Rattus norvegicus: one gene and its partners. The protein of the gene in region 3 purifies or fractionates together with the protein of the main gene of each other region. This does not show direct contact. Links are inferred from orthologs where the notes say so. Each region holds a gene or a part of one and is shown on either strand. Other genes may lie near its edges. The genes, in order: Nap1l4, C1qbp and Maged2.

Region 1 (5,986 bases), on a different chromosome or scaffold from region 3:
GTTCCCTTCCTTTTAGGTTCAGGTTCATTTCCCTTTTTTTTTTTTTTTTAAGATTTATTTATTTATTATATATAAGTACACTGTAGCTGTCTTCAGATACACCAGAAGAGGGCATCAGATCTCTTTACAGATGGTTGTGAGCCACCATGTGGTTGCTGGGAATTGAACTCATGACCTCTGGAAGAGCAGTCGGGCGCTCTTAACCGCTGAGCCATCTCTCCAGCCCCTCATTTCCCTTTTTTTTTTCTCCACACAGCAAAAAAACTTTCAGAAGAAAAATTTTAAACTGGCTACTTCTTAAAAATTAAAAACCAAATCAAATAAACAAACCTTTTATGCATATAAATGCCTGCCTGTTTAGCATATATGTGCAATACCCAAAGGCCAGAGGAGGGCACCGCACCAGATCTTCCTGCAACTGAGTTATATAGGTGGTTTTGAGCCATCACATAGGTAATAAGAACCAAACTCATGTCCTCAGCAAGAGCAGCCAGGGCTCTTAACCATGAACACCTAAACCGGCACTCCTGATAGACAATGAAAGGCATAAGCTGTGGAGTGGTATACCCCCCAAAACCTACACTTTTATATATTATCTGTCTTCATAAGAGCCAAAGGTCTTCAAAGTCTTAACACAAGATAAGCAAATGACTGCTACCAACCTAAACTGGCCTGGAGAGATGGGTCAGTGGATAAAGGTGCTTGCCACTAAGCCTGATAATGTGAGTTTGATTACTGGGTCGCATATGGTAGGAAAGAACAGACTCCCAGAAGTTGTCCTCTGACTTCTACTTCCAGCACATATGCATGTATGTGCACGAATATAAAGAACCCTAAAGCACAGTAACTTGGTTCACAGCCTGAAAAGTGGCAGGCCAGAGAAGCTAAGGATGTGTAACTAGGTCCTACAGGAGTACTGACTTGCAACTTAGGATCATGTCAAAGGGAAAAAAGGAATGAACTGTTTTAAGAAGGAACCAGAAAAGGCCCCTAGGATGGGGGTAGAGAAGTTGTTTGTGCCATACACATAGAGGTCAGAAACAATTTCCAGGAGTCAGTTCTCTCCTTTGAACCATGTGGAGCCAGGGAACACATTCAGGTCTTAAAGCCTGGCAGCAGACACCTTTTGCCAACTGAGCCATCTTGTTAGCCTATAATATTTTTAAGCAATCAGATGTACATTAGATTGGTCACTGCAGGTGCTAGGTGGTGTTTTTCTGCTTGCTTCTGGAACTTCTCATCAGTGAGGCCAAGGACCAAAGAAGAAAAACTTCCAGGAGGGCAGAGCATGTCCACTGACTCAATGCAGAGTTCAGGGCTTAGCAAAGGACTTGGCATGAAACAGGTAGCCAGATATCTCAGCCCAGTTAATTAATCCCTGAATGTAAGTTCCATGGTACTGAACTACCTTTTAACATCTTGGCCTATCCTAAGCAATTTTGGAAGACACAAGATGAGGACTTTTCCTTAGCCACACCTGCTTACAACATGTACTTGAAATACCACCAGCAGGTCATCTCACCAGAGATTTCTAGAGGCCAAACAAACCATCAGGCTTCGGGAAGAAAGGAAAATTTTTTTTCTTTTTCCTCAAGCAAAACGCTCCTCTGGTAGAAGAGGTACCTCTGTAGCACTTGGAAAAGTGATGAAAATATGAACAAGCAGATATTAAGACAGTTTTCTTAATCCAGCACTAACATCTCTTCTTGTTAAGAGGCATTGTCTTCCCCCATATTTGAAATTACAACCTCCCAAGACTTTAGTGTCTCAGAAGTGTCCCCCTGCATCTAACTCTCACACTGCAGGAAGGCAAGAGCACTCACTATTTGCTTTACACTGGAGACCCGACATGTGCTGGAGATCTTGCATGAATAAGACACAAAGCCATAAAGCTACTCTGAAGCAGCTGAGTGGGACTTCAATCATAAATATAAATATCTTTTTGTACATAAAGCTCAGAGCTAATCTCACCTCACTAGACTGAGTTTTCTAGACACAGGATGGAAGCACACTGTTGCAACAGCTGACAGAACACAGAAAAAAGGAAATTTAAGGCTGTGCAGCAAGCAGTCAACGTCAAAAGGTAAAGTTCACAAAGCTAGCTTTTATAGTCTTCACACAATAAAAATACAATATGCCTGTTACTGTAAAATTCAATAACAGACCAAAACAGGCGAGCTTCCCTAAAGAAGACAGAGATCTGACAGCTAAATGAAAGCAAATCTATGCTACCATCAACTATGTCTTCAAAATGCCTAAAAGTCCAATCCAAGACTCTGCTATTTACCTATTTAAATAGGCTTCCCAATCTACGATCAATAACAGGTCTCCCAAGCGTGGTCTAGCCTCCTCGCTACCATTAGCAGGGAATCCCTAGCAAAGGCCGAGGGTAGAAGAAAGTCCCTGCTATTTCCCGAGCACCTTCCTCCACTACAGTAATAGGTGCAGCAAAATGACATCAGCCTCAATTCTAAATGCCTAAATGCACGTCATCTTTCTTGCTGTAGTGCTGGCTGGCCTTGAGCTTCCTGCTTCTACCTCTGAAGCGCTGGAATACAGATACAAGTCAGCACACCCACTTACACTTCCTTTTAAGTAAACAAAAAACCTTGTACTCATTGGCTAGAGGTTCCCAACAGCTCATTACTACTGCCTCTTTTTCAGGCACCTGGGCCTAGATCCAAGAAGCAAAAGTACTCATCTATCTGCCTATTTCACACTGAGAGTTGCCCTTAGACTTTCACAGATTTAAACTACCCTTTCTTAAAATTTTAACTTATTTATGTGTATGGGTGGTTTCCCTGCTTGTCTGTGCACTAATTGCAGAGGCCAGAAGGGGGTGTTGGAACCCTGGGACTTCAGTTATAGACCATTAGGAGCCACCCTATGAATATGGGACTCAAACCTAGATCCTCTGCAAGAGCATGCAATGATCTTAACCGCTAAGCCATCTTTCCCACCTCTAATACTCTCTTGCCCAGAATTGTCTTCTTTCAAAACCAAAATTTTTGGTACTGGCCTTTTTATTTGTATACAAATACAACACAAACTTTTATACACGGCATAAAGACAGCTATCAGGGACTTAGTATACTTTCACTAACAGGCAAATAGGGAAAAAAGTGAGATAGGGGTCTTGCTGTGTTACCAAGACAGATTTTAAAGAGTTCCAGAGCAGCTGTGTATACTGCTATATCTATCTTAGCTGGGACATTTTAAGATTCCAGCACAAAGTCAGACCAAAGTGGTGAACTACCTCACCCCTAAGAATCCCATCCCTGCAGTACTATTTATTACCCACTGGTAATCTCTATATACTCAACTACACAAAGTCAAATGGCCAGCTCACAAGCCGTACTTGCCATGACTTCTGTGAGGATCCCAAAAATATATACATTTTCTCCCCAGAACTTTGGTAATGAAATTTCAGAATTTCCAGAAAATTACAAAATCACTATTATTTTCACCAGTTATTCTATATTAACTCTGAAAAACAGTTCAGGATTTAAAGCTAAAACATCAAAATATAAGTGTTTAGATCTTATGACATTGTGAACCAATCGTATTGGTCAACTAAGGAAAAAAACCGACCGACAACTGAGTTTTACAGCATTTAGTTAAAGGCATAAAATGATGTCGCTGTAGACAGGTGAACCATCCCTCTGTAAAGCTCTGTTCTCTCTGAATCTCACTGATCATCTGAATGGTGTCTGATTCAACACGGTATTTAACAATAAATATTTACTATTAAAACTGAGCCAGATTTAATCTGAGTTTAGATGCAAGCTACCATCACACTTGACCTAACAGAGACTTAACGTGCAATATAGGTCAAACACTCCTATATCAAAAAAATCAGAACATCCCAAAACCCATTTCTTTTCGAGCTTTATGGCACATTTTGGACTTCCAGATTAGGGATGCTCACCTGACAACCTACAAATCTTCCACAAACTGAACCACTTCTGAACCCAGGCGTTTCTTGCTAAGGCACACTCTGCCTGTTGCACCTACATCACGTATTACTGTGAATAGAGTTAAGACACGTCAGGAGCTTAAAGGAGCCCCTGGTGTGTAGTAAGCAGAGATTAGTCATCGAGAGGAGGCAACTACTATGACAGGAAGGTGGCAGTAACTTAAAAGCATGTAACTTTTGGACCAAAAACTTGAACTTGAGTCTTTTGCTGGGGAATATGCATACTCTCATTACGGCAACGTACGCGCAGAAAACTACCGCGGAAATTCCTCCAAGAGGCAGCAAAGCAGAATTGGAGTCAGTGCAGGCCAATTTGCCCCAAGAATACCCCTGGGAGAAGGGGTACTGCTGGCGACTGTAGGGGGCCCACGGGTCTGAAGGCTCACTGTGTGTCACTACACTGGCTCCGCCTCCACAGCAGACTCAGAGAGTGAAGTCTACTAGGGCACTGTGCGGAGAGCATGCAAAGCCCGGAAGGGCGAGGCGGCGGCCCAGTAGACCCCTTCCTTCCCAGGCGCGGTCTAAGACAAGGCGCACCCAGGCCCACCTCGCTGGGGAGGCCTTGTTCCTCTCAAGGAACCGCCTGCGCGCCTTCGCGTGGACTCGCGGGCGGCGGGAACAAAGCGCGCTGACCTTCAGCCGGGGGCGGGGCTGCACTGAGGAGGGACGGGCCCGCCATCCGCCGCCACCCGCCACACGGACCTCTGACCGGGCCGCGGCCCGCCTCTGCTCGCCGCATGGGGCGTCGGCCTTCCCGCGCCACCCAAACCCCCGCCTCTGCCTCCTCCGCCCCAGTCCCTCTCCAGCCGCCCGCCGCGCCGTTACCCGCCAGCACCGCACCTCGCGCCTCCTGCGGCAGTGGCGCCCGTCCTAAGCTCGCTCCGGGGCTGCGCCGCCGTGGTCGCCAACAAAACCACCTGCCATTGGCCGTACTGCCAGGCTCCGCCCTCTGGGAGCAAGACGGGCGATGAATGGACAATAGAGATGTTTATCAACTGCACCAGGCACTAGGAGGTGCGGCATCCAATCAAAATCTGTTGAGGGGGCACGGCGCCGAGCCTAAGCCCGCGAGCTATATGTAAATAGAGTAGTGACGTGTACTTCGGCGCACGCGCGGTTCCGTGCCTATTTAAAGGGGCTGTTGGGCGCGGGTAAGATTTTGGGCTTGTAACTCTAACCGGCTCTTTTTAAGGTTTGATCTTCCTGAGGCTTTGTCGGCAGCGCTCTTCCCAGATAACTTACAACTCAAAGCACCTCCTACTTCCCAAGGCCTTCTGGCCCTCTGTCTACAGTTCCTGCCTGACCTGGGACTACCCTTCGGGTAGAAAAGTTCAACACATCTGTACTGACTGGTTTTGTGTGTAGTTATCTAAAAGAAGGGAACTTTGAGAAAAATGCCTTCATAAGATCTAATCGTAAGGCATTTTCGTAATGATTAATGAGGGAGGGCCAGGCCCATTATGGGTACTATCATCCCTGGGCTGATGGTGGGTTTTGTAAGAAAGCAAGCTGTACAAGTCAGTAAGCAGCACCCCTCCAAGGCCTATGCATCAGCTCCTGCCTCCAGGTTCCAGCCCTGCTTGTGTTCCTATCCTGACTTCCTGCAATAATGAACAGCAATATGTGTAAGCCAAATAAACCCTGTCCTCCCCAATTTGCTTTTTGGTCATGGTGTTTTCATGGAAGCAATAGACAACATCTGATAAAAGTAAATAACTTGATTGCAGATACTGGGTCTTTTCCTAACAAAATCTACCAACAGGGTAGTTGGAAACAAAGCTGATGTGGTGATGCAGCATGCATGGTCTTCAATCCCAACACTTGTGAGATAAAAGATGCGGGTGATAGAATGAGCAATTTGTCACTTTTAGCTATGTACCCAGTTTAGGGCCAGTCTGAGCAACACAACCCTGTCTCAAAACTAAACAAAAAATTAAAACGAAGTGTGGTTACTGAAGGCCAGAAGGTCTACAGCATTGTTTTACTGTATTATTTCTCTCTCATCCTTAAA
Region 2 (5,880 bases), on a different chromosome or scaffold from region 3:
GAAGCACAGACCTAGACCTCCTTCCCCTTTGACTGTTTTGGTACAGGATCAGAGCCTGGAACATAGGGGCTCTAGCTAAGTGGCCACCTTAACAGAAATGGCAGAACCTTCCCTTTACTGTGACCCAAAGGACGGGCCCAGGCAGCGGATAAGGAGTTGGGTACAGGCTAGGATAGAAGCACAACAGGGAACTCCGCTCTTCATGCTTGTCAGTACACAAGACTGCCATCTGCTTAGTCAGATGGCCTGGGGATCCTGTAGCCCCCTCAGTGGTTGGCTCCTAGGCCAGGCACACTATTTCTAAAATGTCTGAATACTATCTAGACCCAGTCACGAGGGCCAGCAACTAAAGGAAAAATCTCAACTGATCAAATGTTAAAAATCTCTTAAGGCTGAGCTGGCAAGGTGGTTCACCGGTGTTTGCTGCCAAAGCCTGATGTTTAACCCTGGAACCCACATGGCAGAAGGATGGAATTGACGTTCCTATAAGTTGCTTTTGACCTCTACAATTGCACGCATAAGCCCCAAACATACAAATAAACACAATTTAAAAAGCCCCGCCCCCGGCCTTCCTATTTTGGTCACATGACTAGTGTTGATTACCCACTTGTCATCTTTCACACTGAAAACACTCCAAACGATAGCTTCTGGATACTAAGTATCCCCACTCCCCAACACTGGCAGGGGTGAGGGCACAGGCCCGTGATAAACCCTAAGCCCTTAGGGGACAACACTCTACAAACATGGTCCATCCACAACTCCAGCTAAAACTCACTCGGAATGACTGCATTACAGGTCTCAGGAGGCTCACCCTTCACCTCACCCTAGCAGGGAGGATTTTAAAAAGAGTGAAAGTGAAACAGTTCTTGCTTTTGGGGACAGAAATCTTGGCTGTCTGCCATGTCACTGCTTACCTCCTGCTCTTCGGCCTTCTGCCCCTGTGAGGGCTCCTCTTCACCATCAAAGGTTGGAGGGATGCTATTGTTAATGTTGAAAGTGACAGTGATCCTAGAAAGGCAGGTAGAGATACACCAAGGTACACATTAACCTAGTGGTAACAGGAGAGCAAGGCCCACTGAAACAATGTCTCCATCCTAGCCACACAGGGAAGTGAAGAGAATTTCATCTGAAGTGTACCTACAAGTTAAATGACTACAGCTGTGGATGAAGCTGCCAGGTTGGTGTCCTGGGGTCTTCCCATGGAAGCTAATGGAGGTGGACAGCCATCTGCCCCGGAAAGCCTCACAGCCACTGCAGAGCAGATTCACTTTGCACAACCACAAACTAGGAACTGAAACACCTAGTGGCTTCTTTCCCTTCTGGGGGGATTCTGGAGCTCAAATAAGTACCCTGCCCATGCTTGGCGGAAGTTCACAGCTGCACCCTGGCCCTTGTGTGACTGTAAGAATTCTTATGTGATGGACAGCACCTGTTCTAAAGTCAGAGACAGTTCCTTTGTCTCAACACCTGGAAAAGAAGTTCCGCTTACACAGATTCAGAGGGCCAACCAACCCAAGAAGAGTGTACTGGGGGCTGCTCCCTGGAGTCCAACTGGGCAATGCCTTGCTGCCACTTTGCCCCCGAAAAAAGAATGGCAAGGTGAACCAAAGGGCATGTACAACCTGCGATAGCCCAGACTAAACCTACTTCTTCCTTCCCTCCCTCCTTCCCTCTCTTATTTTGGTTTTTCAAGACAGGACTTATTTGTGTAGCCTTGGCTGTCTTAGTACTTGCTGGTGGACCAGGCTGGCTTTGAACTTACAGAAATCTACCTGTCTATGCCTCCCAGGGTGATAGAATTAAAGGCGGTGAGCCCCACCGACACTCAGCCTGGCCTTGAACTTTCTAATCTACACACACACACTTACTGCTAAGCTTATAAACCCCCGCACCCCCAATAAAACTTTCTTGTACACTGTGCTCCTGAAGCACTGGGGATGGATCCTGGAGCCTCACACAAGCTAGAGAAGCACTTAAGAGTCCAAGTAGACTTAGCCAAGGAAGACTGTGGGTGAATGGGTAACACGAAACAGCACAGACAAGGGTTTAACGGTTTTAGGGGTGCCAGGTGTGGTGGCGCATGTCTGCAACCTCAGCACACAGGTGTCTGAAGCAGCAGGACCCAGAGTCTGAGCCCAGTCTATGCTACACAGCAGCCACACAGAGACCTTGTCTCAAACCGAATCCCTTGAGGAGAGGAAGAGCTAAGTTTGGCTAAGAACCTTCTCCCTTTGTCTGATGGCCTTTCTACATGGTAACTTCTTCCTGTGACTTAACAGTTACACACGTGCACTTTCAACTATTATAAACACAAGCCAGACGGGAGTTCTAAACAAATGATTTACCAGTACTATTAAACAACAAAACAACAACCCAATGCTTAATCCAGACTGGCACAGCACCCCTCATTAATAACCCAATAACTGCGTTTGCCCCTCCCACAGGCTTCCCTCTACATACTCTGGAGCTGCTTCAGGTCTCCTTAATACAAGCCATAGAAGCTTGTATTCATTCAGTGAATGCACTCCCTGGAACCTAAGAACTTTCCCAAGTTTAATGCTTTCTTAAAGCCATTTTATCAAAGCATTGGGCCTAAGCTCAGGCTCTTCTGGGGATGGTCAGAACAGGATGCTGTAACCAGGAACTTCTGACTTGAGAATCCAGTATACAACCCCTGGGCCAGTACTTACTTTTCTCCGGCAACTTTGCGCAATAATTTAGCCTCCGTGCCGTTCACTTCCAGCTCCCAATCTCCAGACATTTTGGGAAGGGACTTATGCTTCTGGATCTTCTTTTCTTCCTTAATTTCATCAGTCAAAAATTCAACAAAGGCCTTGTCTCCTAAAAGAAAGGCCAAAATGATCAACAGTGAGAAAAGGTAGTTGCTCTAACCGATTGACTCGGACTGCGTGTAATCTATTCTTAAGGCTGTTCTAAGACTGTAGCGTAAATCACGCCTCAAAACGTCCGTTCCTCACTCTATAAAAACACCAGGATATATTTACTGAGCTGAACTGATATTACTTATCATGAGATGGTTATTTCTCATCATGAACTCATTACTATTACTTCCCGTATAAAACAAAAGAATTTCCAACTATCCTCTTCCATGTCCAAAAAGACGTGGACCCAACAACCACACTTTGAAACCACGACCCTACCGACTTTGCTAAGCCACATTTTCAAGACGCGAGAAGGGGAACCTGCGATCATGAGGGCCAGTTCCGAGCTGGATCGCCGCATTCCGACTAGGGTGCGTGAACCTTACCTTCCGTGTGCAGAGCGCCGCAGCCGCACGCGCAGGGAACCGGGGGCTGCAGGAGGCCAGAGCGCCGAGCGGAGCCGGCTCGTACGCTGAGCAAACCGAAGGGCCGGAGGCATGGCCGGGGCGCGGGCTGCAGTAAATGCCGAAGCGGCGGGGCCGGGATGGAGGCTCGGAGGCCCGTGGCGGCGGCACCCAGGGCGCGGGGCACGCAGCGCAGCAGAGGGAGCATCGCGGGGTGGACACGTGCAAAGGGAAGGACGACCGGGCCAAGACACCGTGTGACCTCGCGAGCCGCCGGAAGCCCCGCCCTCGCCCGGGAAGCGCTATCCACGTCGGAGGACTGCAGTACCCGGGCCGGACCGCACCGCGCCCTCTGCTGGGAGCCGCCAGCGCAGCCCGAGAGGCCTTGGCTCAGCTGTATTCTACCCTGGCCATCAAATCTCCCTTGCTGCCCGTTCTCCCCAATTCACCTGCTTTTCTCAACCCAAGCCACACTTTGTTACTTCGTGGAATACGCTCAGGTCTCATCCCAACAAAGATCACTTAGCGGTCTTCTGAAACCGCCTAGTTCTGAAAAGCTCAGACTGACCTGCATGCAGCTGCTGTGGAGTGGGCATCCAGGCCTCACATTAGACCCAGAATCCCAAGAACAGGATGAAGGATTTATGCTGGAAACCTCTGCACCCCCTAACAATTCGTGTACCGGTTTTAATGGACCATCGTTTTTTTTTGGGGGGGGGGGAGCAGGAATAGATGGCTTTCATCATCACATTTAGGTTGAGAATCAGGGATAACAGGCTGGAGACAGGGCTCAGTGGTTAAGAGCACTGTTGCTCTTACAGAGGCCTGGAGTTCTATTGCCAGCATCCACACGCCTTCTCACAACCATCTACCTCCAGTTCCAGGGCAGCAGACACCCTCTTTTGACTTTTACCAACACCATGAACGAACGTAGTGCAGACATGCAGGCAAAACTCTCAAGGACATTAGAAACACACACACACAAAACAAAACCAACAAAATCCAAAACCCAACCCAAGAAACAAAAACAAAATTTAACCAACCGAATTTCACACACACACACACACACACACACACACACACACACACACACACACACACACACCCCAAAAACCCCGCTCATGCTCTCTGGTCCTAGCATCTGGGAGGTAGAGGCAAACAGCCGAGTTTAAGGTCAGCCTGGTTACACAGCATGTTCCAGAACAGCCAGGGTTACATAAAAGACCTCTCAAAACACCAAAAGCAAATGTTGGATACCGAGTCTTACTGAATGAATGGCAATGAAACTACTGTTTAATATTCTAAACAGCATTCTTTAAATAAGGGAAAGGAGGCCCAAAATAAGAGGCCACACAGATCGTATACAAGATTCAGGTTTTTATGGACTTAATAGTCAAAAGTAATTTTTGAGCATTATATACAAGAACTGTTTCTTATGTTTGAGATCAGAGAGATTAGAGTGCAAGTCCAAATCCACTTCTTATTTTTCTACACTACAGCAATCGATATAAAATTGTTTCCTCACAGGTATAGTCTAGCTTATGTGCTCAAGGAATGGCATCTTAGATGCATGGCCACAGTTCCAAACAGGTCCTGGTAGGTAGCTGCAGACAAGGATTGTGTCACAGTAAATATGTTGCTGTGTTTTGGAATTCTGTTACAAGAGAGCAAAGGCTCTCACAGGGGACTGGTAATGAAACTTGTCCCGGGTGTCGTGGCCATGGTTACAGAGAAGATAAACACCGGCAGGACGCAGGGCTGCTAACTGAAGTCCAGCTGCTTGTTGGAGGCTAGTCTGTGCAGACTGGAGTCTTCATGTTGGAGAGTTTGCCAACTGGAAAAGCAGCTTAGGTTGTACTGTAGTAAAATCACCAAACATTTCACTTTCTGAAGGAAGCTTGAAGAGTGCTGTCCCTTCGGCTTAAGACAAGCATTAACTTCTTTGTAGTGATCTGTGGAGTCAGAATGGGGTTCCCACCTGATGTAATCCCTGAGCAACTGTGTTGAAAGGTAATTTTTTAAAAAGCTTAATAAAAAACTAAATACTCTATTAGAATTCTCCCACAATGTTTGGGTGGTAAGCAGATTTCTGTACAGATACGTTAGTTATGTAGAAACGGTATCCTTCACTCCTTTTTCTGGGGAGCCCCAGTCCTCTCTGCAGCAGTCCCTCCAGGTTAAAGTCCTAGGCCTCCTCTGGAGCCAGCCACTGCAATCTACGTTTCCTTTAACCCAGAAAACACCTCTTAAGTTTACTAAGGAACAGAAACTGTCCATTGCTGAGGAATATATTACCTACTCCTTGTTTTCTTTAATTAGCATAATGAGTGCTCTATTAAAAATACAAAAGTTCCTCTTGCCAAGCAAGGTTAAATAAACCTTGCATAAATACAAAAATACACTTAAAAAGAAAACACATTCTGGAGAGCATTTCAGACAGTTGATAATGTGACCATTTTATCAAAGAAATAGTCGCAAGTACTCAGACAACCCTAAGTCCTGGCTAAAAGCTTGACTAACCATGGCTAGGGTTATAATAAAGCCTAGACCAGACTCAACAGACACAGCTGTGGACCAATGAGATCCTGGCAATG
Region 3 (5,641 bases):
CATCCTGCAGTTCCTTTATAGCTATGGGTGTTCTCTCTCTCTCTCTCTCTCTCTCTCTCTCTCTCTCTGAAAGAAAGTAATAGACTACCGTATATAAAGTACATAGTTAGGTGTTATTGCACATATAACAAACACTGGGTGGTTATCTATAGCATCTTTTTAGTTGGTGGGAATTTAGGGAGACAGAGGGGTGAGCATCTGCAATGCATGAGATGGAGTATCCAGCAGCAGACAGAAGTTTGAACTAAGCTGCACAGCTTTAGTACTAGGTGTGTTTCCACCACTGACTTGCTGTGTGGTCAGTGGCCACCCCTCCCTGGCCACCATGTGCTCATCTCCACAGGGATGAGGACGTAGTAGGTCGCTGCTTCCCTCCACAAGGGTGATCATATACCTTTCTTCTGTTTAAAGCTTCCCCGGTGTGCCCATCCCCCAGGGCTGCCCCTTCACCTTCTCCAAGGAATAGCCTGCTCGTTCAATGATTTCAGGGTATACATCCGTATATTCTTTGATGATGTCCTTCAGCATATCTGCAAATGAGAGTGTTGCAAGCATCTGTGCTGTAGAGATAGCGGGTAACCCCGATGCCCAGTTAAGACACTCTGTTGCCCATGCCATGGGTGGCAAAACCAGGTTGGGGGGCTTTTCAATAGAGACCCTACTGTTGGGAGAACTTTGCGAGAAGGGGCGGGAGCAGGAGAATGAAGGCTGTCCCCAGCACATTTGTAAGAAGGCAAGAAGGCAGAGCCCAGGAGAGGGACAGTGTTTGTGGGACTCTACCTGAGCGCCTGATGGGAATCTTTGTCTGATCTTTAGCCAACAGGTACTTCACCAAATCATTTGCCTAGGTGAGAAAGAAATGGTGAAAAGCCAAAAACAAACAACAAAAAACAAACCACAGCACACTCCAAAGCACAACAGAGAAGATATCAGGCAGGGCAATGGAAAAGGTGACCTGTCAAGGATGGAGTTCATACCCTTCCTTGTAAAAGGGCCACATCTCTGGGTGGGGGTGCTTCGGGTTCCTGGGATGACTGCAGCTTGGCAGCTCTTCTTCGGGCCTTGCCTCTCCGAGCTCTAGGTGACCTCAGGGAGAGCAAAGCTCTCCGAGCCCAGGCAGCCAACCGAGTCCTTGATGCCCTGCGGGCCCAGAACGCTATGGGTCCCCTTGAAGCTCTACGGGCCATGGAGGCCATTAGGGCCTTTGAGACCCTCCGACCACCTGTGGTTTCTGAAGTCTGACTCTGATCACTGTTGCCGTCCTCTTCCCCTTCCAGGTGTTTCCCCTGCATCAAAAGAGGGGAAGGTAGAGATCAGCAAGTGGTACAGATGGCTCTTTCTCCTAACTCAGTCTCTTCTGGAAAGTACCCCCAACCCTGTCTCTTCTGGGATACATCCCCCCAACCCTGCCCTTGTCATTAGAGTCTTCCTCACTGGACACTAGCCATCCTGAGTCATGGGCTTATCACTGACTACCAGTTGGGAATTTCCTCCCTGAGTGGATCAGGAACAAGTCAGAAATAAGGCCTGAGGCTTTTCGTCTTCCCACGTCCACCACTGACTCTGCTTCTAGCACCGTAGACTAGTCAGTCCTCTTTTTGGACATCAGGTTCCTGCTCAACAGAATGACACCATCGGAGTTAGTTTCAGATATGAGACTACACATGTGAATATGCCCACCTCAAGGCCTACAGTGTACAGCTACTCTGTAAATATAAAAACTGTGTTCCAGTCAGCCTGCAGCTATGCATATTCCTGCCTCATCTCCCCACCAGCCTGTGAGCTCTGTGGATACAAGAACTGTGACACACTCCTCTTAGTGTTCCCTGTGTCTTTCAGGAACACAGGAATCATTTTAATGTTGGCAGACAAATGAGCAAGATGAATGTGGAGAAGCAAGGACAGTTATGGCTGAGATCTTACCTTTTCGGTATTCTTGGCTTTGACCTTGGGCCGAGTATCCTGATTCTCCTGAACTTGGACAGCTGCACCCTCAGGCTCTGGTTCATCTGCCCCAGACTGAGAGGCAGGAGCCTCGGTCTCCGGAGTCTTTGTATTGACCTTAGAATCGGTAACAGAACTGACCGTTTTGGTCTGGGTTGCAGGCATTGTCATAGCCTGCAGGTCAGCCTTCTGTGTCTTGGTGTCAGCTGCTGGACTCTTGTTTTCAGCTGCCAGAACCTGGGTCTCACTCAGCTGTGTGGTAGGTGAGGCCTGGGTGGCAGCTGCCTCCGAAGCCTCTGGGGCCTTTGAGACCTCTGTCGCCTTTGGGTTCCCAGAGGCTTTGGGGACCTTTGCAGCTTCTGAGACCTCTGGTGCCTTTTTAGCCTTTGGTGTCTCTGAGACCTCCAAGTTCTGGGTCACAGTCAACAGGTCCTGCATCATGGAGCCGCTGTCCTTTTCTGAAGCTTTGCCCTGCAAGGGAAAGCAAAGAAGTTTACTGACCTTCTTCCCACCCTCAACAAGGCAAATGGTCCCAAAATTCCGAGGCTACACTTCTCTGACTAGCAAAGACTCTTACCTGCGGTGTGCTCCGACCACCCTAGCCTAAACAGGCCTCCCTTCTCTGAGTTACAAAGTAATGACAGAACAAGGGCCCGCCCACCCTCTCTCCCTTCCCTCTGGCCTACCCTCCACTGGGGAGAGGGGATGCACCCAGGCAAAGAAGTGGGTGGAGAATGACAAGGATGGGAGGAGAAGCTCCAAGGATTTAGGGCAGCAAAAGGGGCTGGAAAAGCAAAGCAACAAGAAAAGGGTGGGGGGGATCGGTCTTACCTGAGAGCGAGCTGGATCTGCACCACTCTCACTTGTGTCAGACATGTCTCAAGTTCACCTGGCAAAGCTGAGTTCAAAGAGAAGGCCTGGGTCAAGTGGAGAGCCCGCTGAACGTTGTATCCCTTGTTCTGCCTAGAAGCTGAGCCTCACCTTCTTTAGGGCCCCAAAGCCCAGCCCCTCCCCGAGCCCCAACCAGTAGGTGCTCAGATACAGAAATTCTGTCTCTAGGTCTCAGTTCTCTGCAGCCGCACCCTCCCCTCCTCCAGGAAGATGTGCCAGCGCGGCAGCTCTGAGGACCCCGCCCCCTTTTCCCAGCGCACCCCCCCCAGCCGCAGGCCTGGAGTGCGCATGCGCGTCTTCTGCAGCGCCCTTTCAACCCCGCCTGCTTTCCCAGTACAAACCCGTTCTTTGAAGTCCACCGTGCACATGCGCATTGAGCAGCTGGCCCTGTCTCTCTGCAAGCCCTACTCAACACGCCCCTTTCTAGCTATACATACAGCGCATGCGCAATGGCCATGGTCTCAGTCCAGCACCCAGCTCCTACACACGCCCCTCTCCAGGTCCGCAATGCTGTTCAGCCCCGCCCCCTCCCCAACAAGTCTTCCCTCCTTCCAAATTGTCGCAGTGTCTGGTGGTCCTAGCCCCTCCCCTACTCACATCCACCCTATCAATTTCACAGAGTCTCTAGGTCCCGCCCTTTATCCTAACACGCCCCCCTCCAAACGGTAAAACCCAAATTGGTTTGGCTCCTTCCCTGTAACACCCCCTCCTCAACTCAGGATAGAACTAGTGATTCCAACTTAGGCCCAGTCAAACGGGGTCCAGTCCCCTCCCTTCCTAGCTGGATGGATTCGGTAAGATTTGGCTCTTAAGGCAGGTTTTCTCCAACTCCAAGAGGGTGGGGCCGACCCCTAGCAGGCTCTCATCCAAAGCTGGGGCCCATGACTTACCTCGTCCTCCTGCAATTCCTGAGTGTGTCCACTCTCTCCAAGCCCCTCCGAAACTCAGATACTGCCCTCCCCACTAAAGGCCGGAAGTGGTCCCGCCCCTTTCCGCCTCCCTAGGGGGCCTCCGTCCCAGCCCGTCTGCCCCTCCCCCCTCAACACTCCTTATTTCCCCCCTCCCTATTCCCTCTGCCTGACTCCAGACTCCCTATTTCCCATCGCATTTCCTACTTACTCTACAAAAATCTCTTCCCATTCCTTACATCCTTCTCTGTACTACCTATGCACACCCCCCTCCCCAGTGTCCCTTAACCCTTCTCTGCATCCCCTATTCTCGTCCCTGGATCTCGCCTTACCCTTCTTATTCCCCCATATTCTTCCTTCTTCAAACATGCACAGTTCCCCCTTTCCTCCCCTCCACCTCTGCCAGTCTCTGCTGTCCAGTGCATATACAGCTTGCTACTTTCTTGGTCGACTTCATTCCCACACCGCATTAAATGCAGCACCTCTGCTCCAGCTACAGTGGTCAAATAAGAATTGCCCACCTGCCCAGCTATGGGTTTCAGGTAGTTAGAACCACTGTCTGCTCACCAGGAAAGCCCAATCTTGTTCCCTCACCTTGTCCTCCAGTGAGTCTGGGATGCGTGTGCCTGCTCCTCAGTCCCTCTCGAAGTCTCAGCCTCCTGGACTAGAGCTGCAGACAGCCCAGCCCAGCCCAGCCCCTTTCCGCAGCCCCCTACCCCCGCCCCTTCCTCGGGGGTGGGGCAATGGGGCCCTGCTCAATGCTGTCTGACGCCAAAGCCCATGTTTATGCCTCTGTACCAGGTTCGGTCTTGAAGCCCTTCCAACCCAAACTGCCCCAAGAAAACGATTCATTCATTGAAATTATTTATTTTATATCATTATTTTTCTTACTACAAAAGTTGTCATGTGAAAACCAGAAAAAGAGCAAAAATATGTAACAGAATATGAACGGCTATCTTTAATCTCCTTCTGCAGACATACTCATAATATTGAATATTTTGACAGACATTCCTCCATATTTTTTTAATTCATAGTCTGATTATTTGGGCTTTCTCCCTACACAGGCTACTGTTCTGTAACTGCTTTTTTCAAGTTATATATTCAAACCTCTTTCCCTTAGTGTATATTTTCTTAGTAATGTATAATGTTTTCTTGTAGAGATGTCCCATAGTTGATTTATTTAGTTCAGCTGCATGTACCTTCTGCATGTTTCTCCTTTTTCAAACTATTACAAACAATGCTACAAGGACATCCTGGTGTCTATATTGGACTGTTGTTTTATAATGTTTTGCTGATTCAAATCATTTGAAAGACTACCATTTTCAGAGTAAGTTAACTGTACAAAGTAATGACTTTTATGGCATTTACAAATTCACCCTCATTAACATTTCTCACTAGTTTGAAATGGCACTTCTGTTACCTCATACATTCACATAAATAATTGGGTGTCTTCGAGAGAACAAGATAAAATGTAAAGACAAAGAGAAGTAGACAAAATATCATTAGCAACAGAGCATGTGAATGCAGACCCAGAAAAAGCTTATTATAAACTATATTTCATAGAAACTATAGAAATGAAATTCAAGATCTTTCTTATACACAAATACAATCTGCTCCATGAGGTCACCTTTCCCCTTATTGAACAAATGAAAGATAACGAATCCCTATGCTCTATGGACAATTTGATTCACACACATTTTCATATAGCATCATGGCGGGTTTATATATTCGTTTCATTTTCTGTGAACTGTTACTTCCCCCAAGTTTGTAATGTCACCCTACCACTTTCTTATCTCCTAGGCTCTGTCTGCTGACCATTAGAGTAGTCTCTCATTTTCTTCCAATTCTGGTACCCCAAATTCCTATCCTTTCCAACTTATGACAAACTTTCAATACCA

Evidence for each region.
Region 1: the proteins of Maged2 (region 3) and Nap1l4 purify together in Homo sapiens (affinity purification with mass spectrometry; 3 studies listed by BioGRID and IntAct, counting the BioPlex papers as one, with this or other methods). This does not show direct contact. The link is inferred for Rattus norvegicus from reciprocal best matches to the Homo sapiens genes MAGED2 and NAP1L4.
Region 2: the proteins of Maged2 (region 3) and C1qbp purify together in Homo sapiens (affinity purification with mass spectrometry; 3 studies listed by BioGRID and IntAct, counting the BioPlex papers as one, with this or other methods). This does not show direct contact. The link is inferred for Rattus norvegicus from reciprocal best matches to the Homo sapiens genes MAGED2 and C1QBP.

What each region holds. Positions count from the first base shown.
Region 1 is NC_086019.1:208,170,550-208,176,535, forward strand, and holds the start of Nap1l4 (nucleosome assembly protein 1-like 4), read right to left. Parts: upstream 4,021-5,986; 5' UTR 3,928-4,020; intron 1-3,927. UniProt on the Homo sapiens protein: Acts as a histone chaperone in nucleosome assembly.
Region 2 is NC_086028.1:56,199,691-56,205,570, forward strand, and holds the start of C1qbp (complement component 1 Q subcomponent-binding protein, mitochondrial precursor), read right to left. Parts: upstream 3,496-5,880; 5' UTR 3,495-3,495; coding exon 3,269-3,494; intron 2,842-3,268; coding exon 2,691-2,841; intron 1,009-2,690; coding exon 915-1,008; intron 1-914.
Region 3 is NC_086039.1:23,164,725-23,170,365, forward strand, and holds the start of Maged2 (melanoma-associated antigen D2), read right to left. Parts: upstream 3,797-5,641; 5' UTR 3,726-3,796; intron 3,203-3,725; exon of another isoform or gene 3,177-3,202; intron 3,110-3,176; exon of another isoform or gene 2,926-3,109; intron 2,843-2,925; 5' UTR 2,821-2,842; coding exon 2,776-2,820; intron 2,416-2,775; coding exon 1,924-2,415; intron 1,287-1,923; coding exon 978-1,286; intron 845-977; coding exon 781-844; intron 531-780; coding exon 451-530; intron 1-450. UniProt on the Homo sapiens protein: Regulates the expression, localization to the plasma membrane and function of the sodium chloride cotransporters SLC12A1 and SLC12A3, two key components of salt reabsorption in the distal renal tubule.